2 linked regions of the Tamandua tetradactyla genome follow. The protein of the gene in region 2 interacts with the protein of the main gene of each other region in a pairwise test. Links are inferred from orthologs where the notes say so. Each region holds a gene or a part of one and is shown on either strand. Other genes may lie near its edges. The genes, in order: SEC24C and MOS.

Region 1 (11,858 bases), on a different chromosome or scaffold from region 2:
ATATATACACCAAGCAAAGAAATAAAAAAGCAATACTTTTCAAAGCACTCTTCAAAAAGTAGTTACAGGGCAGATCCCAGAGTTTGTCATGGGCTACCATACGATCCTCAGATTTTTCCTTCTAGCTGCTCCAGAATATAGGAGCCTAGAAGGCTTAAATATTTTTTTATCATCATAAATGACTTTTTGAATGATTTCTAATTGTTTTGTTAATTCTTTTTTTAATTAATTAAAAAAACTATAAAAAAAGAAAAAAAAATAGATAAAAAAATAAATGACTTTTTTTCCTTCTTTGTGAAAAATAACATATATACAAAGAAGCAATATATTTCAAAGCACAGCATCACAATTAGTTGTAGAACACATTTCAGAGTTTGACGTGGGTTACAATTCCACAATTTTAAGTTTTTAATTCTAGCTGCTCTAAGGTATTGGAGATGAAAAGAGATATCAATTTAATGTTTCAGCATTCATATTCATTTGTTCAATCCTATCTTCACTATAAAACTCCACCATTAACTTTGATCTTTCCATCCCTCTCTTTAAGGGTGTTTGGGCTATGGCCATGCTAATTTTTTCCTATTGGAAGGGTCTGTCACTAATATGGGGTAGGGAGATGGAACCATCTGATGTTCTGGAGAGGCTGGGCCCTCTAGGTTTCAGGACTTATTTGGACTAACACACAAGGATAAGGTGAACTTCCTAGGCTCCTTCTCCACACTTATATTCAATGTTGAAAATACATATTCTGGAACCCCAATAAAAGTGTTTTCCTTTAGATAGCTTTCCTTTCATAACTGGTCTTGACCAAAGTTAACCATATGGTCCTACTAAACCTCATCTAAAGGAAAGGGGGAGGTCAGAAGAGACAAACACAAATAATCCTAAAGTTCCCTCTTCCTATCCCTGAGGATAGGCTCAACAGGAATCAGAAATTCATTCAAAATGTATGTCTAATCAAGAAAAAAAAAAACTCAAGTTCAAAAAAAGAGGAAGAACATGCAAAAGAACCCAAGTACAGAGATAGATCAATAATTCACAGAGCTGGCTATCACCAGCACTTGTAACCTAGAAAGAAAAAGACAACAAACGACAAAGAGTGGAAGGAAGAGAGAAAGGGATTTAAGGGAAATATAGATGAAAAAGCAGAAAAGGAAACAGATCCTCATGCATTTCTAACCCTACCAGCTTCATCAGATTGATTTTTAGGTTGACCCAAGTACATACCTCTGCATTTGAACAGTAGAGCTCGGCCCATTCTGTATATCTCCTTGGCCAAACTGGCCATATGCAGTCTGGTCACAAGAAGCCTGTGCTGTTGAGGCAGGAGGTGCCCCTGAGGAAGGTGGGGCTCTTGACACACCTAAGGGTAAAGGACAGAAACTAAGTAATTGTGAAATAATTTTTTTTCTTCCACCCTAAGCCAGGAATGCAAAGCAAGGACCAATAAACTCAGACCTTCATTGGCCCAATACCACAGCTTTGCAGTGAAAATGACATCACCAACATGCAACTCTAGCTACAGCAACATTCTGAACATGGATGCCTAGACAGAGTCTTTACCCTCCTAGACAGCTATACTTGGGGTGAAGCTGTAGACACAGCCACAAGAATGTAAGGCCTTCCTGTGATCATCATCCTCTCCAACTCCATCCAGCACAGTCAATGATGTTACCCTAGACAAAAAGTCAAGTCTTTTATGGAAAAGACCATACTCCAGAATTCAGAAACACGAAGCATATATGAGAAAAGTAGCATAGAAGATAACCAACTAATATACTGAACTAGATTGTAAAGAAAGGCGCCTCTTGGGAAGACTCTTCTATCACCTTCCTCTTCTTTTTCATCTATATTTTTTTCACCTACTTCTAAGTGTGAAAGCTCCCAAAAGCACAGAGCTCAGGAAGTATTCCCCAGAAGCTGAAGACCTTGTTTCTGTCCAAGAGTTCATTTAGTGCAGTTGATTTGTCCTCCTATTAATGCTGGTACCTCTGACGTCACAAAAGTTCTAGTTCAACCTTTCTACTCATCAGAGCTACCATCAAAGCTACTTATGAAGAAAACAATTAGTAACTTCACACATCACTCTTGAAATGCTGCCGACCCCTGTTCAAAAATAATTTTTTTTCTGTCTTCAGCAGAAATTAGACACTACAAAACCTGCCTAGAAAAACATGATTAATCTGAACTTGCTCACAAGCCATGACTAAAACCAGATATGTTTTCCTCCTGTGGCAATACCAAATTCCATCTTGATAAGCCAAGACTTTGGAGAACTGTGGACTTTGTCCTGTCAAAGTCCCAACCCAGGGTAGGCTCATCTACAGACCTGAAACCTAATCTCTCCTAATCTTTCCAATTCATATTTTCCAAATCTTAATTAAAAATGGTAATACTTCATTTATTTCCCAAATCCTACCTTTGCCTCCTTGGTGCCCTCTTTTTCCCTTATGTCTTTATGTAATTTATACTCTTAAAAAAAAGCATAAAGTTTGGTATACCCTATATTCTGAGGCAGCCTAACCAAAGATCTACTGTTAACTACTCTCCAAAAAGCCCCTCCCAACAATCTGTAGAGCTGCCCTTCCCTGAAAAAGTAACATAATAACCAAACATTGACCCTAAGGCAGCATTAGATTAGTCTTCTTCCATTGCCCTGATAGTACAGAACATCTAAGCAGAGGAAACTCAAGCAAAGAAGAATGGTATCATCAGAAAGGTATGAGAGGCATCAAAACTAAGGCACAAATATAACTATACCTTTCATCCATGAATTAGATCTATGTGTCCCAGAATCATTTACAGATAAAACCATCTGTCCAATTAGAGGCATTCTCAATATACATGAGAAATAAGTGATTTCAGGAAGACTTTAGGACAATGGGAAATATTAAGTGCCAGTCATAGGCTCTAGAGGAGCTGTGACCACACTCCTTCCAGCAAGCTCTGAACAATACAGCTAGGTATACTTTAGCACGATATCAACAGGTAATGAACTGCCACTGAACCTGGAAGATGTGTTGCCACTAGATGCCTTAAGGCTGAACCAGAAACAGTCATCCTATAGTAAAAACAGGGAAGGGCAGCTACCCACAGTGCTCCCAGTGAAGAGAGCCAGATTTATATTCCTCAGTCCCAGTCACCATAATTCTCCAGGCAACTTAGCTAGGCAATACAACCCAAACTAAAACTCTTCTGATTCCTCTCCATGGCTCAAAGAAAACTTGTAAACATATACCTGGGGGAGGTGTTGGCTGATAGCCTGGTACTGGGCCATTGTAGGCTCCATAGGGAATGGGAGGGACAGTGGACTCTGGCTGCCCACCATAGCTGGACTGATGATACCCTGGGTAGACAGGCTGGGGCTGCCCATATGGCAGCACAGGTGGAGCTGACTGGTTGACGTTCATTATGAGAGCATCCCCAACTTGGTCTCACCTATCAGATGAGAAAGAAGAGAGAAATTAGTCAAAACCAACTTCCTAAAGATAAAGCAAATATTTGGGGTAGGAAGTAGGAGTAAAAGGGATTGACTTTATCAGAGAATGATTAGCCTAATCATTTCTACACAATAACAGGATCTAGTAATTTTCTGTCCCAGCGAGTACCCAGTTTACCTCCTCAGAGAAAGAAAGGATTTTGTTTCTCTGAACCACATGCTTTGTCAATGCCAAGGGGTTATAAATTTCAACTTCAGAGAAGCCCCCTGGAATGGAGCAACAGTTTTCATTCCCCAGTGATATGACTTCTAGCATCTAGTCACACAAAGAGTCCTGGGGCTGAAGAACTACTGTGATATTACAAGGTAAATTAAACAATGCTCCCACATCTATTCATTCAACAAACTCTGAGTACCCTAAAGTGTACTAGTGTTTTTTAATCACCGAGACTAAAACAGATCAATGAAGTTCCCTCTTCCTCAAAAGGCAAATTTTTGAGTAACTGTGAGAGAAATGACATGCTTTGATTAACCTGAATAATCAAAATGCTACTCCATCCCCAGTCTTCCCACCAAAAGGGTATATCGACCTTAGAACTGAAGCATCAAAATCCCTAACTGTAAAAGATACCTGAAAACTCTGGTTAAGGTACCAGATTACAGATGATTATAGACCAGGCACAAAAACTTCACAATAACCTAAGGAAACAGCTCAAGAATCAGTGGCGAAGTTAGACTTGATGTAAAAGGTCACTCATCTTATGCTTCAAACAGAGAGTCTGTGAGTGTTCCAAACCCCAATGTACTTCAATTCTTCTGTTCTGCTCTCCTTATATGATTTTAATGAATATAGGCCACTGCCAAAATTACTACAATCTTGTCAGGTGAGAAGAATGAATTAGAAGGCCTTTCTAGGGTCCTTCCAAGAAGAGTATTGTCTGATGACATCTACTTTAATCAGCCTCACCAACCCAACTATCTTAAAGACGGAAGGGGTCCAGAAAGCAGAAGAGCTCACAGTTGATGCAGTGTAACAATGGGTACTCTCCCTTTTGCTAGAAAGGGCCATCTTGACTATAGAAAAGCTGAGCTGCTACCGGACTAGAGCTCTTTAAACTGAAAGCCATCTCAGGAACGGTTCGAAATCCTAAACCTTGCACAGATCAGTGACACTAAACTAAACACATAGTCCCCTCTCATTTATGTCCCTTAAAGTCCTAGAGGGAAACAACAAAGGAGCTTTTTCTCCAAGAAATAATCCCCTCAAACACACCCAAGCGCTTGGAATCAGGCTCAAGTCTCACTCCATTCTGAAGACAGTCGAGGATGACAACTCAAGGGGGCGGGGCAAGCTTCCTAGAACTCTGGAAGCAGACGAGCAGTGGAGGCTGGGAGGGCCAGGCATCAAGAACGAGGGAGACGAAGAGGGCGCTGGTCCTTTAAACTTGGGAACCGAGCGTCTTGAGCCCTTCAACAGGCTCGGGGTAGGAAGCTGGAGTCGAAATCTGGGCGGGAGAAGAAGGGAGGGTCTACGGCTGACCCTGGATTGTAGATGCGTGAGATAAGGGTCTCTCCCCGAGCCCCGCCTCCGGACTCCTCCCTTCCTTCTCACACTGGACCCTGATGTGGCCAGTGATACCCCGACCTCTCCTCTGCTTTCCTACCCACCAACCTCCCGATGCCACTCCTTACCCGGCTCCAGATCCAGGTTCGACTTCGTTCCTAACGTCAAGGCTCCCAAGCTTCACTTCCGGTTCCGAGGGGGCCGTAGCGTCGCTCCCGGAAGTCCAGCCCCCACGTTCGTGGGCCGGGCTGCTCCACTGCCACGTCTACACTAGGCACGCTCTCAGGAACCCGGATGCTAGGCATGCGCAACTTCCATCACTCATGGCCATCCGCTGGGAGGCTCCATGGATTCTTATGCATTTCCGCCTTTTTTTTTTTTTTCCTGGCTTCACATGACTTAGTCATTTTATAACCCCAACGACTGAGATACGCTTTGAGAAGGTTGGGTCAGAGTGTCTTTAGTGACGCCCCCTCAATCTGCCAATGACCTATTAGTGCCCTCTGATCTTTTTTTTAAATTAATGAAACATGCAAACACAAACTTTAAAAAAATTTTTTATTGATACCACAACTACAAGCACATACATTCTTAACATACGAACATTACATACATGGTGCACAATCAGTGGTTCACAGTATCATCACATGGTTGTATATTCATTACCATGATCTTTTTTAAAATTTATTAATTAAAAAAATTAAGAACAAACAAAAACATTAACATATCATTCCGTTCTACATATATAATCAGTAATTCTCAATATCATCACATAATTGCATATTCATCATTTCTTAGAACATTTCCTTGATCATTAGAACATTTACATCACTCCAGAAAAAGAAATAAAAAGAAAAATTCATACATGCCACATACCCCTTACCCCTCTCTCTCATTGACCACTAGTATTTCCATCTATCCAATATATATTTTTAAAATTTTAATATTTGTTTCCCTTATTATTTATTTTTAATACATGTTTTACTCATCTGTCCATAAGGTAGATAAAAGAAGCATCAGACACAAGGTTTTCACAATCACACAGTTACATTGTGAAAGCTATATCATTATACAATCATTTTCAAGAAACATGGCTACTGGAACACAGCTCTACAGTTTCAGGGACTTCCCTCTAGCCTAATATACCTTAATCTAAAAAGGGGGTATCTATATAATGCATCAGGATAACCTCTCGACTCTGTTTGAAATCTGTCAGCTGCTGAGACTTTATCTTGCATTTCTCTCTTCCCCCTTTCGGTCAAGAAGGCTTTCTGAATCAGTTGATGCTGAGTCCCAGCTCATTCTAGGATTTCTGTTCCACGTTGCCAGGGAGGTTACACCCCTCAGAGTCAATGTCCCACATAGAGAGGGGTTGGGCAGTGAATTTGCTTTCCATGTTGGCTGAGAGAGAGGCCACATCTAAGCAACCAAAGAGGTTCTCTGGGGGTGACTCTTAGGCATAATTTTTGGGGTTTTTTTTTTTTTTTTTTTTTTTTGCCTGGGCAGGCATTGGGAATTGAACCAGGATCTCCAGCATGGCAGGTGAGAACTCTGCCTGCTGACCCACTGTGGCCTACCCATCTTAGGCCTAATTTTAAGTAGGTTTAGCCTGTCCTTTGCAGGGATGAGTTTCATAGGAACAAACCCCAAGATTGAGTGCTCGGCCTATTGATCTGGTTGTCCCCACTGCTTGGGAGAATATCAGAAATTCTCCAAATGGGGAAGATAGTGACCTCTGATCTTGAGTCCTATGGTGACTTCCTGCTGGCCTCTGACCTCACTGATTTCCACCTTTGAGGTTGTTCTCACTGGTGTTTTTTTGCTGAATGTATTTATGGTAGTAAAGGGCACTAACTCTGCTTGTCCATGGGATTCTGTAATTTTTAATAATCACAGTTAGCAAAGGGCTTATGGGTGAGAATTCTGGCTCAGTATTTCGCTGTTTTTGGCACTTAATCTCTTTGTGCCTCAGTTGCCTTCATCTTTCTTCTAGTTTGCTAGCTGCTGGAATGCAATATACCAGAAACAGAGTGGCTTTTAAAAAGGGGAATTAAATAGTAGTTAACAGTTCTAAGGCCGAGAAAATGTCCCAGTTAAAGCAAGTTTATAGAAATGTTCAATTTAAGGCATCCAGAGAAAGATACCTTGGTTCAAGAAGGTCAATAAAGTTCAGGGTTTCTCTCTCAAGTGGAAGGGCACATGGCAAACACAGTCAGAGTTTCTCTCTCAGCTGGAAGGGCACATGGCGAACAGGGCGTCATCTGCTAGCTTTCTCTCCTGGCTTCCTGTTTCAAGAAGCTCCCCAGGAGGCGTTTTCCTTCTTCATCTCCAAAGGTCGCTGGCCTGTGGACTCTTTGCTTCTCATGGCTATGTTGTTCTCTGCTTTCTCAGAATCTCTATCATTCTCCGAAATGTTCTCTCTTTTATAGGACTTCAGAAACTGATAATCAAGACCCACCCAAATGGGTGGAGACATGTCGTCACCTAATCCAGTTTAACCACCACTCTTAATTAAATCACATCTCCAGGGAAATGATCCAATTACAGTTTCAGACATACAATACTGAATAGGGATTAAAAGAAACGGCTGCCTTTACAAAATGGGATTAGGATTAAAACATGGCTTTTCTAGGGTACATACATCATTTCAAACCAGCACAATCTTAAAAATGGAACTATTGATGTCCAATCTTATAGTGGGTTGAGAAGATTGAATTTGACAAGTCACGTAGGCTGTCTGGCACCATAGTAAGCACTCAGCAAAGATTGGCTGTTCTCAATTAACCATTTTCATACAGCCTCTTCCTTTAGGTGCAGAGATTTGCCAGAACCAGAAGATAGGATCTCTGCTCTCAGAGTGCCCCTAGTCTATTGGAAAGGCTACAGTCCTTCCAGTAATTATTATTACCTGATCTAAAGAATTCCAATAATTGTACCTAAGACTTATGGGATTTTTTTTTCTTATATATGACCTCATTTAATACTGAGGACAACTATTAACAACTATTTTGTGAGTAGTGTTGTATGCCATGTTATGTTCTGGGTGCTGGAAATATAGTAATGAACAAAACAAAGTCCTTGATCTCATATTGTTGACAGTAGATATTAATTATTCTGAGGCACAAAGAAGTTAATTTGTTGAAAAAATTCATTGCACATGTAGTCTGTGCTGAAAACTGTATTAAGCATTGAATATGCTTTAGCGAACAGGAAGATCATCCCTGGCCTCAGGAGTTTATACTCGAGGTCAGTAGTTCTAAAATGTGACCCTGGGAGCAAGAGTCAATATCACTTGGGAACTTGCTAGAAATTCAGACTTACCCTAGAAATACTGAATCAAAAACTGGAAGTGGGAACCAGCAATTTATGGTTTAACAAGTCCTTCAGGTGATTCCATTGCACACTGAAAATAGAGAACCACTGTCTTAGATTAATAATTTGCTAAATTCAAATAACATTTGTTGAGTGCCTACCTTAGGCTGGCCTCACTGCTAACATTGCCCATAATTTATCCAATTTAGAGCTCATCTCAGCATAGTAAAACAGGTATTCTCTGTCCCGCTCAAGGGTGCACCCCTAATAAATGATAGAGCCTATATTCATAGCTTCAGTGCTTTGTTAAATACCAATACCAAGTACCAAACCAATAAAATCAGGAGCCTGGGAATCATTACATATATGTAATGTGTGTATGTAATGTATATATATATGTATACATTAATAGATTATTTTATTACACAATCACCTGATCCTATACACTGTCTTATTTTAGGGGATCAGTAGTGTTTTCTTGTTTGTTTGTTGTTTTTTTTTTTTGACATGTACAGTCTCCAGGAATTGGACCCAGGTCTCCAGCATGACAGGCGAGAATTCTAACACTGAGCTACCTTTGCACTGCAGGGGATCAGTAGTTTTAAAAGCTTTCCAGGTGATTTTAATGTGCATTCAGGTTAATTGAAAGTACTGGCTGGTGTGCAGTTAGCACAATAAATGTTTGAATAACGAATGCATGGATAATTAAGTCCTTTTTTATTTTTTCCCACTGATCAGGTCAAGTGACTACCTGACTCACACAGATAATAAATGACGGAACAAGAACTCAAGTCCAAGTCTTCTGACTCAAAATCTCAAGTGTCTTCTATGACTACATCATACACCAAGGCAAACAGCACCTGGGGCACTATGGGAACAGCTATCTTAAGGAACTCTGTAGCTTTGGATAATCACAGATAGAACAGCATAATTCTATTTTTTTAACAGGAAGACATCTCTTAATATAGGGCACATTCATTTAACAGGAACCTAGAAACTAGTAGAGGTGGGTTTAACATGGGTTGGCATGTTTACCTATCTGTGACTAAAACCACCTGTTGAATGTAAGAGATCATTTAATTCAGCAAACATTTGTTGAGCACTCATTACATCAGGCATTGTTCTGTCTGATAACAGGCTATCGATTGGCTATTGCACAGAGTCTTGCCTTCAAGTCTCTCACAGTCTAGGAGGGAAACAGGCATGTAGACAAATTACAATATTGGTTGAGAAATACAACAATAGAAATTTGAACAAGATACAGATGTTGCCCAGAGCAGGGAAGGATTAACTCTATAGGGGAGGAGTCATCAGATGGTCAGGCAAGGCTCTGTAGAAGCAGCAACAGTTCTATGGGGCAGGGCTGACCGGGAGAATTCCTCTCCATAGCACCCAGCACTACAGTGGAATACAGATCTCCACTTTGATTATAAATGGTACACGAGGAGGCACTCTTTTCTGGGGAGTTTGGGAACTTTTTGCAAACCCGTTGCTTGTCGGCTCTGGAACTGAAGCCTCTGCCATCGCCATTTTGAAATGGGCTTTGAAGGAAAGTAGATGGGATCAGTCCCTGATCCTATCAAGAAAGGCACAGTCCTTGAGAGAGTATACGTTAGTTGTAGAGCCCAGAAGCAAATACTCCGAGTTCTGCGGAAAAAGCCCATGCAGGAGAATGGGGGGACATGGGAAGGCAACAGTTTGACTATAATTAGCACTGGGAGTAACCTAGCTGGGGGAGGGAGGGGAGTACTGCTGGCATCTATTTTGAGCATAGCTCCGATTGACAGGCCACGTGTGCTGGACTGTACTGATCTGAGGGCTAAGTTGCCTGCCTGTAGTGTGTGGTTTGGGGGGGAGGCCTGGGGCAGCAGGAGCAGGACAGCCGGACAGGGTACCGTCGCCTCAACTTCTCTTCCTGGGACAGTCTGCAAATTCCGGGGACCGTAGGCCAAGCTGAGCAATGGGTGCTGAGGAGGAAGTGCTGGTCACACTGTCAGGGGGAGCCCCCTGGGGCTTCCGACTTCAGGGGGGGGCCGAGCAGAAGAAACCCTTACAGGTGTCCAAGGTAAGGGAGAGCCCCTGAAATGAGGCTTCAGGGAAAGGGGAACCGAAGGGAACCCAGGACGAGTCATGTGGTGGGAGAGAAGCTGAGAGGCAGTGACAAAAAGGAGTGGGAGGTGGGTAGGTGGGCAGGGGTGCATGTTCTGGTCTGGCTGGGGAAATGGTGGCTGACCACAGGCTTCTTGTTGAGGGCGATTAGAGAAGAGAACTCCTGCTTTTCAGGAAGCAGAGAAAAAGGAAGGCTCTGCTTCAGTTTCCTGGGGCACGATGGTAGCAGAGCACTTTGCTGGATCCGTACCTCTACTATAAATTCCAGGAATGTAGGGAAGATTCTAATTTCTCTCTGACTAAACTGATATGTGATGAGCTAAGGCTGACTCACCCAGCCCAGACCTGCCCAGACCCCCAGCCCTGTCTTCCTTCCTGCCTTCAAGTGGTTTTCTCTCCCTAAGCCAGATCCTTTCTCTCACTAAGCAAGGCTTTTTAAGTACTGGGGGATGTGGGGTGGAGAGGAATATCTGGCTTCTCAGGTGAAGTGTTACTCTTTCAGTTTCACCCTACAGGCTGCCACTGACTTCTCTGAGCCCCAGTTTCCTCAAATGGGTAAATGGTGGGTAACATAGAACCATTCTAAGGATTTAATGCAACAATACATGTGAAGTACCTAACACAGTGCCTAACATTCAATAAATGGAAGCCACTACCCACTACTACCACATTACTTTAACAGGTATGCACATGCGCACATACATGGCACACAAATAAACACAGTCACAATCTCTAGGAATCTAGCTGGACTCCCTCCAATCTGGAATACTGTTTAAACCCTTCATTGTGTAGATAATGGCCCTTGGGATCCAAAGGCCTGGTAAAGCGCTATTGACAAGTATAGATTTTGCCCTTGGAGGGAAAACTTGGGACTATAACCACTATTTCTGATACTTCCCCCAAACAGTTTTCCCCAAGCCTCTTTCATTCAGTGGTTACTCTACTTCCTCCTAAATGATATGTTATGCTCTCCAATCTTCACCTTCCTCTCTCAGTACAAGGTCCCTCAACTGAAGCCCTTTGCCCCCTCAAAATAAAATCCCTTCCTCACAGGGTCCTTCTTGTCCTAACTCCTTTCATTCTACTCCCCTTGGAGCTCTCCTTCACCTGCAGTCTCTTCTTTCTCAGATCCGAAGACGGAGTCAGGCTGGCAGAGCAGGACTCAGAGAGAGGGACCAGCTCTTGGCCATCAATGGGGTCTCCTGCACCAGCCTCTCTCATGCCAGTGCTATGAGCCTCATTGACACCTCAGGGAATCAGCTTGTTCTCACTGTGAGGCGGTATGGACCTCCCTCAGCTCTACCTCTCACTAACCTGCCCTCAGCAGCTATTAAGTGCCCATTTCTGCTTGAGTGTTTGTGCTAGAGTATACATGCTTATGTATGTCTCCAAGCAGCTTGAATCAATAATTAAGGGATGGGTTGTCAAATGGGT
Region 2 (9,870 bases):
GGTATATCGCATTCCGGAAGCTAGCAAACTAAAACAGATGTTTCCATAGAGATGTGTCTCCACCCATTCAAGGTGGGGTTGTCTGCTAGAGTCATTTAAGAGGGAACCATTTTGGAAAGAGCTTCAGAGGCAACAGAGCCCCCACAGATAGAGACCTTCGGAGATCCAAAAGGAAAACACCCCCAGGAAAGCCTTATGAAATGAGGAGAGAAAGCTAGCAGATATCACCATGTGCTCTCCCAGCTGAGAGAGAAACCCTGTACTTCATCAGCTTTTTCTTTGGAGTTCAGGTACCTCTTTCTTTCTCTGGATGCCTTAACTGGGACATTTTCACAGTCTTAGAACTGTAAACTTACATCTTAATAAATTCCATTTTTAAAACCATTCCATTTCTGATATATTGCATTATGACAGCTTACAAACTAAAACAGTGACAAATATTACCATTGGCCATGGTTGCATTTATGAATTAAATTTTAAATAAATATAAAATTAACTCATTCTCCCCACATCTGGTTTTGGTCAAGACCTAGGGTCTCATTACTAACCAAGCAATTCATGATGCCCAATGCAAATAGACACTTTTTAATGTTTATGTTAATAAAACTCTAAACGGTAAGCAGTAAAAAACAAAAAAAAATGAAAATTGCAGTCACACAAAAAAAGCTTTCACAAATGATGAACAGACCTACCTATTTCTACAAAAGTGCAATATTCAAATATTTTAGGGAAGTAGCAATTTGTTTTGACTTGAACCTTAAATAATTTCATCACCTGCTTAAAATATACCATCCCATTATGTGCATGTATGTTGGATGTTTGACTGGAAATTACATAGAATTCAATTTAAACAACCTCTCCCAAGTACTCTACTTTCTCCAAAATTTTGGATTAGTTTAATTTCTGTAAAGTAAACCCATAATAATAAAAGTTGTTAAACTTCTGATATTAATTTCAGTTCTACCTGAGATTCAATCTTGACATAAAATATTACAAAATATATGTCATTTGAAGAGGTGATTTTTTTAAAGTATATCCCCCAACAGATGTTGTGAAGAGTGTGTTGGGCACTTTATCAATCAAATTATGATATTTCTCTGGATTTTGTGATGTCTGTGCTATTTGTCAGCTTTTTACAATTTGTAATTTGTTGTGACTTCTCTCATCTGAAAACATATTCACTTCCACACTTAATTTTTAATCTTCTTCTTAAAGAAAATACCCCAGGCTGTATAAGCTATATGGTCCACAAAGCTGGGATCTGCTCTTGTTAATATTATATTAGAATAAAGCAGCTCTGTATCTATTGCACTGACATGGAAACAAGTCTATGACATTGTGCTACTTATAAGACTCAAATTTTAGAATCTTAATAGTATAATTCCACTGAAGTAAAAAAATGTTTTCAGATTTGACTATAATCTTGGAAATATGTGTATTTTTAATAAAGCATATGCATTCATTTACATCTTAATTTTTTAGTTCTAAAAAAAGTGAATTTGCCATCTAAATTCATGCCTGTAAGTAGTAATACCATATTTCAACAATTCCAAAACTCATACTCCTTCACATTTTAACATGTCTGAAATTGGGTTATACCTTGAGGTGATGGTGAAAAAAGTGGGTCCTGGGGAACAGTTCCCTCTCCTTTCCCAGGTGCAAATATGGTCCTAACCATTTCCACATGGCCATGCTCAATAGGATTCAGTGACTTGTTGCTGCAGCTATTGAGTTTATTGGCTTTTTAAAATGTCTTCTGTAAAAGCATGGGATTACTCTAAATGGAAATAAAGTTATTGTTTACATAGAAAGGTCAGAAAACAGTGGCTTGGTGAACATTTGTTATTAGACTGGCATATCATCTTTGGGGGTTATGACGGTTCATCCAGGGCTTTCTGGCATCGAGGAAAGAAATGGACCCACCATGGATGAAATACATGTGGTTTGGAATGAGAGATTCAGGTACCAAATTGCCAAGCCTTGGAAACTTCAAAGTCAAAGAGATGGTGGAAGCCCATGAGTATACAGGTGTCCTGCACAGGTGTGTTAGTACAGGTGCACCTGTGATGTCCACTTATTCTGCTGACTGACTTTGAAGAGAGGCCGTTCATCTTCCAATGACTTGTGAATCGAGGAAAGAGGCATTGGGTACAGCACTGGGTTGAACTCCTGGATTCCACATCAATCCCTGAACTCGATTTGTCCAGCCTAAGACTATTTCGCAGCTAAAGCCCTTTTTATAAACTCAGGAAGCCTGCAGCATTAGCCCAAAGAAGAGTGTCTCCCACAATTAATGTTCCTCAATCTCTTTGGTTAAAATTATATTTAAATGAGCTGTTAATTCTGATCTCTATTGTACATCTTTTGATACATACACTGTTGAGAAGTAACTCTTCCTAATGGTGTTTGCAGAGAAAGAGTAGACAACACAGAGCCTTTACTCCAAGATCCTCAGAGCATTTGGCTCATCAATTGGGTCCACATAAGTCTCCTTCCTTTCTTTCCTTTGTTTCATTTACAATCCCCAGGTAGGAAGTGTTACTGAAGATGTCATCCACATGTTCTGTCCCTATCACTTTCTCACAGACTTTTTTAAAAATCCCAGATGTTTTGAATCAACTCCACTCTTGTCTTTGTCTGGGTATGATGTGAGGTTATCACATTTGATCAGATTAATGTACACCTGTAGCAGTTTTAGTCCATAACAGTAATGTGACATGCTTTTCTATCTTTAACATCAGAAATAAAATTTTAAAGCAGAAAAATGCTCCAAGTAAAATTTAAATTGGGTTAATGCAATGTTACCCTACAGTCCTGGTAGAATAACTTTTAAACCAATACTGTCTAACGGACTGTGAAAGTTTGAAAAGGTTTGTGTACCCTAGAAAACCATGTTTTAATCTTAATCCCATTTTGTAAAGGCAGCTGTTTCTTCTAATCCCTATTCAGTGCTGTATGTTAAAAACTTTAATTAGATCATCTCCCTGGAGATGTGACTCAATCAAGAGTGGTTGTTAAACTGGAATAGGTGGAGACATGTCTCCACCCATTCTAGGTGGGTCTTGATTACTTTACTGGAATTTTATAAAAGAGAGGAGATTCAGAGAGATCTGGGAAGGATGACAGAACGCTGCAGAATGACATAGCCATGAGAAGCAGAGAGTCCAACTGCCAGCAACCTTTGGAGATGAAGAAGGAAAATGCCTCCAGGGAGCTTAATGAAACAGGAAGCCAAAGAGGAAGCTAGCAGATGATGCCGTGTTCGACATGTGCCCTTCCAGCCAAGAGACAAACCCTGACCGTGTTCACCATGTGCCTTTCCACTTGAAAAAGAAACCCTGAACTTTATTGACCTTCTTGAACCAAAGTATCTTTCCCTGGATGCCTCAGATTGGACATTTCTATAGACTTGTTTCAATCAGGACATTTTCTTGGCCTTAGAACTATAAACCAGCAACTTATTAAATTCCCCTTTTTAAAAGGCATTCCATTTCTGTCATATTGCATTCCCTCAGCTAGCAAACTAGAACACAGATGTTTGTTTCTTAAGGGTATAAATCCACACAGATTATTTTTTATGAGTTTTGTAATAATAACATTTATGTGTTACCATAAGCCGGGCCCTGATCTAAGTATTTGAAACTGTTCATCTTCACAGCAAACCTGAAGTCAGTAGAATATTTTCCAGGTGAGGAAACTGAGGCACAGAGACAATAAGAAACCTGGGTCATGTGACCCTAAAACCTTTGTTCTTTATGACCTGGTTTGGGCTTTATCCATTTTGGAGATACAAAATATTATATATAATACTTTAAATTATATAATATTATATATCTGTACATATATACATGGTAACAAAATCAGGATTAAAATTAAACTTTAATTAAGAACTTTTATGTACTAGGTACTGTGCTACTCACAGGAGAGAAAAAAATCTCTAAGGGACATAATTCCTGTCTTCAGGGCAATTATAGTTTACAGAGAAAGAGAAACAAATTTTAAGATGCCTAAAAAAAAGGAAAACAAATGGCTATTTTAAAAATGGATATTCAATTAAATATTCTTGGACAATTTGGCAGGTGACAGATCTAGTGGATTTAGAGTTCATGCGTGTATAGATTACCACATTTTCCATAGTACCTCACATTTTATGTGAAAAAGTCAGACTCTAAACTTTGAAAAAATTGTTTATGCTACTACCTTAGAAATAAAGATTACATGATAACAAGTCACATGATCTTAAATCATAAGTAGTAGCTAGAAAGTGTAATGTCTATCGCTCTTATTCTGCTACTATTTGCAGCACTCCAGCATGTTACAACAATTTCAGAACCTTCATATTCATGGTTATTACAATTCCAAATAGATGATGGCTATTAAGTCAGTTTAGCAATTAGACCTATTATAGGATATAGTTTTATTACTTTCTTATTTAACTCTGTTTTAGTTTGTAAGCTGCTGGATTGCAATATACCAGAAATGGAATGGCTATTAAAAAGAGAATTTACTAAGCTGCAAGTTTACAGTTCTGAGGCCATGAAAATGTCCTTAGAGGCACCAAAAAGAGGTTACCTTCACTCAAGATAGGCTATTGCCATCCAGAACACTCCTGTCAGCTGGGAAGTCACGTGACTGGCATCTCCTGGGGTCTTTGGGTGTTGGATACCTCTCTCAGCTGGGAAGGTACACAAATATCTGCTAGCGTTCTCTCCTCATTTCATAAGGCTTCACCCGCGGTGCCTTCCTTTCACATCTCCAAAAGGTCTCTGGCTGTGTGGGCTCTGTTAATTCTGTTGGCTCTAAGAATTTTTCCAAAATGGTTCCCTTTTAAAGAACTCTATAAGCAACCCCATTTGAATGGGTGAAGACAGATTTCCGTGGAAACCATCTAATCAAATTTACCATCCACAATTGGGTGGGTCACATATCCAAGGAAACAATCAAAAAGATCACACCCAGCAATACTGAATGAGGATTAAAGGATGTGATTTTTCTGGTGTACATAATAGCTTCAAACCCACACAACTCTGTTCATTGTTGTTTTGGTTTGCTCTCATCCTCTTATATTTGGGGTTCAGTACAATTGCATACAACTGTAGTTCTACTAAAATATTCTATAGTTTAATGTTTAGATTTTGTTTTATTGTTGTTAATCTGGACAGGATTCCCCAATTTTTATTCCAAGATGATAATGTTTATTTTAATATTGAATATTATCCTAATTTCTTACATGAAAAGATTGAGGCTCATACAGGTTTAATCTAATACCCAACATCATATACTAAACCAGAGGAGTAGCACGGAATAAACATCCTATTCTAAAAAGGACTTAATTTCAAATTACATATGTAAATGAGCCATGTTTCTTAACGTATCTTCTCAGAACCAACATATTTCAGAAGCAGAGAAGAGCTATTTTCATAGAAATGTGCTTGCATATCACTTATGTGCTTTTAGCACTGAGTATCAGAATGGAACTTTATTATTTGACAGAAAATACAGATCCTAACATTCTCATGTGTTTTGTAATGGATAGGGTAATACTGTTTATCATTTTCCCAAGGATATGGTATGAAAATTACTTTTTCATTATGAAACTTAGAAAGGAAGAACTTATGGTTGGGTTGCAAGACCCTGAATTATATTTCAAAATCTGATTTTCCGCATTCTGTATAGGCACCAGTGAGTCCGTGCTATCTTTTTATCTTCAGAGTTTCCTCTTCTAGAATTCTCCTGTACTTATTATTTGAAGCTCTGATCATGACTCTGAGCCTTTTTTGTTCTGCCCCTGATTCTGCTTCAAAACTTCTGTAACTCATTTGCTGCAAAGTCTAGAATCTCTCTTGTAAGTGAGCTTTCTGGGTGGGCCGAATTGCTATGGAATGGGAGGACTGCTGGGAAGTTGATATGTTGCTAAAATCTTGCTAATTTGCCATATAAGCAGAATAGAGTGTCCGAGAATTTTCCTTTTCCCTGATGAACTTAGGAGGTGTGTGTTCTGAGCTGGACAGTGCTTCTATTTGGATCAATTACTCCAAGATTACAACTTTTATCCATATGAATGTGGCACCTAATTATCCCTGTAATCGGTTAAGGAAATGTCTGCTGTTTGTCTTTCAACTCTTTCTGCCAATAACTGCTGGAAGTTATTTGATGCAGCTGGAGAAGAACACTGACAATCAGAGTCTGCAAAGTGTGAAATAATTTCATTTTACTATTGTGGTCTCTTTAGTCTCAGGTCTGATAATGTTCAGCCGATGAGACTTGGAAAAAGCTCATTTTGCTATAATTGAAGAAAAGTGTCACAGAGGGGGAGCTGTGGGGCAGCTCCATGCTGTTTATATGGTGAGCTCTTCCTGAGAGCTTGCTTTTATAAGAATTCACTTAAGTGTTTAAGGGAAATGCTTTCATCTGAAGGTGATTGTTGTGCTTCCTTCAGATTTTTCCCCTATCCGATTAAACACACACACACACACACACACACACACAAAACACCCTGGCTGTGCAAAGGCACACAGATGTGGCTCATTTGGAGACAATGAAGGGAGAGGATAAAGAGGCTGTGGCGCCGGGAAGGCCTGGTCAATCATGCATCCAAGCTGGCGCAGCCCTTTCTTTCCTCTGCGTCCATCTGGGTCCCGGGTCTCCACCCTGAAGGCGCCATGCCCTCACCTCTCCCTCTGCGCCGTTGCCTGCCTGGAGAGCTGTCGCCCTCGGTGGACTCGCGGCCCTGCAGTAGCCCCTCGGAGCGCCCAGGTAAGGCAGGGAGGCTCTTCTGGGGTGGCACCCCGCCCAGGGCGCCGCGGCTGCCACGCCGGCTGGCCTGGTGCTCCATTGACTGGGAACAAGTGTGCTTCCTCCGGAGACTGGGAGCTGGCGGGTTCGGCTCGGTTTACAAGGCCACTTACCACGGTGTGCCCGTGGCGGTGAAGCAGGTGAACAGGTGCACCAAGAACCGCCTGGCATCGCAGCGAAGCTTCTGGGCTGAGCTCAACATAGCCAGGCTCCGGCACGACAACATCGTTCAGGTGGTGGCGGCCAGTACGCGCACGCCTGCGGGCTGCGATAGCCTGGGCACCATCATCATGGAGTTCGGGGGCAATACCACTTTGCACCAAGTCATCTACGGCGCGCCCCACCACCGTGGGGACGAGGAGGAGCCTCGCTGCCGGACCGGGGAGCAATTGAGTTTGGGAAGGTGCCTGAAGTATTCCCTAGATGTGGTGAACGGCCTGATTTTCCTCCACTCGCAAAGAATCGTGCACTTGGACCTCAAGCCGGCTAACATTTTGATCAGTGAGCAGGACGTCTGCAAAATCGGTGACTTTGGCTGCTCCGAGAAGCTGGAAGGCCTGCTGTGCCTCCAGCCCCCACGGTGCCCCCTGGGTGGCACATACACGCACCGAGCCCCGGAGCTCCTGAAAGGAGAGGCGGCCACCCCCAAAGCAGACATCTACTCCTTCGCCATAACCCTATGGCAAATGGCCACCAAGGAGGTGCCCTACTCGGGGGAACGACAGCACGTGGTCTATGCAGTCGTGGCCTATAACTTGCGCCCCTCTCTGTCCGCGGCGGTCTTCACGAACTCGGTCCCGGGTGGGAGACTGGAGTGTATCATTGAAGGCTGCTGGGCGCCCAGCGCTGTCCAGCGGCCAAGTGCAGAGCTCCTCTTTGCGGACCTTAGCTCTTTAAAGGCTGAGTTCGCCTGGCTTTGAACTTGCTTCCAGAGAAGCTTTTCCCTTTATTTCTATTCATTTTTTAAAGAAGTGGCGTTGTAGAAAACTATTTGTAAGACAGGTTTTTAGAAAATAAAGTGACTTAATAACTTCTTTAGTCTAACATGGTTTTACCAAGACAAACAGGCAGGACTAAAATTTGAGCAATTGTGTAGAAACTACCGTTATTCCTTTCTGCAGTTAGTTTGCTTGTGTTCACAGTTAGCACAGTTAGTACAGTTAGTACAGTTATTCAGATTTGCTGTTGACAAAACCAGGTTGTGCAGAACAGAATGGAACTGCAGAAATGCCAAAATTTTCTATGCATTCGAACAGTATGTACCATACCCACCATCTAACTTCAAATGGTCAAATTCAAACTGTCACAAATTACTGGTCCTATGCCAAATCCATAAAGACTTTTTTTAAAGTTATTTTTTTCTACTTCCTCCTCTAAAATAGCATTCTCATTTGTAAGGACCCTCACACATAATATTCAGGAATTGAAACTAATTTCAGTTCAAATGAATTTTAGATGATACTTAATGGTAAAGTATATAATCCACAAAAAAGAAATAAACATAATGAATAACTGTGAACCAAATCCCACACTAACAATTTTCATAAACAAGAAATAACAAGTAAGTACAAACTTGTTTTTAATAGGAGAATTTAGATTACTTCTGTAGGTCCAAAACAGATTAGAGGGACACAAAATAGGAGATGATGTAGAAAACTGACACGATAATCGATAGAGTGAACCTAACTGTTATCTCGAGCTTTCAGGACTGGAAGAACTAACAGAGTTTCTTGTCAAGCCCCTTTTGAAAACTGACCTAGTATGCCAGGGAGAAAACCTCAAATTCCAAAACTTAAAAAATTAAAAAGAACAGAGGCAAATAGGATTGAAATTAATAATAAAATTAGAAAGCAAATAACACTCTTTATCTGGAAATTGGGAAAACTCTGAAGCAATGATATGTCAAAAGAAAACACTAATCAAAACTGTAGGAATCCTAGAAAACAACAAAAATGAAAACATATTAGAAACAAATTCAGGTCTTTAAGTAAAATCAAAGTGACTTAAGGATATGAATCAAAGGAGGAGAAGAAACAAAGAAGGAAAGCAGGAGGAATGAGTTAAAACAAGGAAATAAAAATAAAAGTTTGAATAAAAATCAAAATGGACAACTCACTTGCTAATCTAAAAGAAAAAATTGCACATATACACAAAATTCGAAATAAAGGACAAATGATCAAAACAGTGGAAATTTTTAAACATTTTAAGAGAGAACATTGAATTTGAATACCTAGAAAGAACATATAATTTGCTGGACAGCTACAATTTACTAAAACCGTACCCAATGAAGGCAGAAAGTCTAAAAGGACCATAGAAAATGCTCTCCAGTCCCTTCTCTGCCTGCTCCATAGGCCATAAAGACCCAAGTTCTGTTGCCTTCTATCAAATCCTTAAAGACCAGGTAATCCAGATGCTACTTAAACTATTCCAGATCACAGAAGGAAAACTTCCAAATTCTTTCTAAGGATTACATTTAAACCAATGTCAGATAAAGACCGCTGGAAGAAAAAAAAAAAAAAGAAACTGCAGATCAATCTAACTTATAAATTGGTGAGCAAAAAAGTTCTAAATAAGATATTAGCCAAGAGCATCCAACAGTTCATTAAAAATATAATGCATATAATATTTTAAACTATGTGGATTTATTCTAGGGGATGCAAGGTTGTATCACGATTAGGCAATCTGTTAACTTAATTCATCATATTAATAGGTCAAAGGAGAAAAATAATACATTCTGAAAAGATATGACCAAACTAAATATTCATTCCCAATTTTAAAAAAAATGACTCACTCAAAGTAATAAGAATCAATAGATAGGTCCTTAACATAATTTAAAAAAATACACACACAACCAATGTTAATTTCATGGTTATATAAGATGTTAACATTAAGAGAAACAGAGTGAAGAGAATACAGGAATGTTTGGTACTATCTTTGCAACTCTTTTGTAAATCAAGATTATTTCAGAAGAAAAAGTTTAAAAATCATAGAGCACACGTACGTATTTCAGCTCAATCACCACTGTCTTCCCTAACAGGGAGTCACTAAGGGATTCCTACTTAAGTCAAGAGGTAT

Evidence for each region.
Region 1: the proteins of MOS (region 2) and SEC24C interact in binary tests that used the Homo sapiens proteins (3 or more experiments, as listed by UniProt). The two-hybrid records come from large-scale screens. The link is inferred for Tamandua tetradactyla from reciprocal best matches to the Homo sapiens genes MOS and SEC24C.

Annotation. Positions count from the first base shown.
Region 1 is NC_135339.1:22,895,106-22,906,963, forward strand, and holds the start of SEC24C (protein transport protein Sec24C), read right to left. Parts: upstream 5,255-11,858; 5' UTR 5,132-5,254; intron 3,439-5,131; 5' UTR 3,411-3,438; coding exon 3,239-3,410; intron 1,364-3,238; coding exon 1,228-1,363; intron 1-1,227. Other genes in the region: SYNPO2L (synaptopodin 2-like protein), read left to right, coding at 10,276-10,380, 11,553-11,704. UniProt on the Homo sapiens protein: Component of the coat protein complex II (COPII) which promotes the formation of transport vesicles from the endoplasmic reticulum (ER).
Region 2 is NC_135332.1:99,781,962-99,791,831, reverse strand, and holds MOS (proto-oncogene serine/threonine-protein kinase mos), read left to right. Parts: upstream 1-6,662; coding exon 6,663-7,715; downstream 7,716-9,870.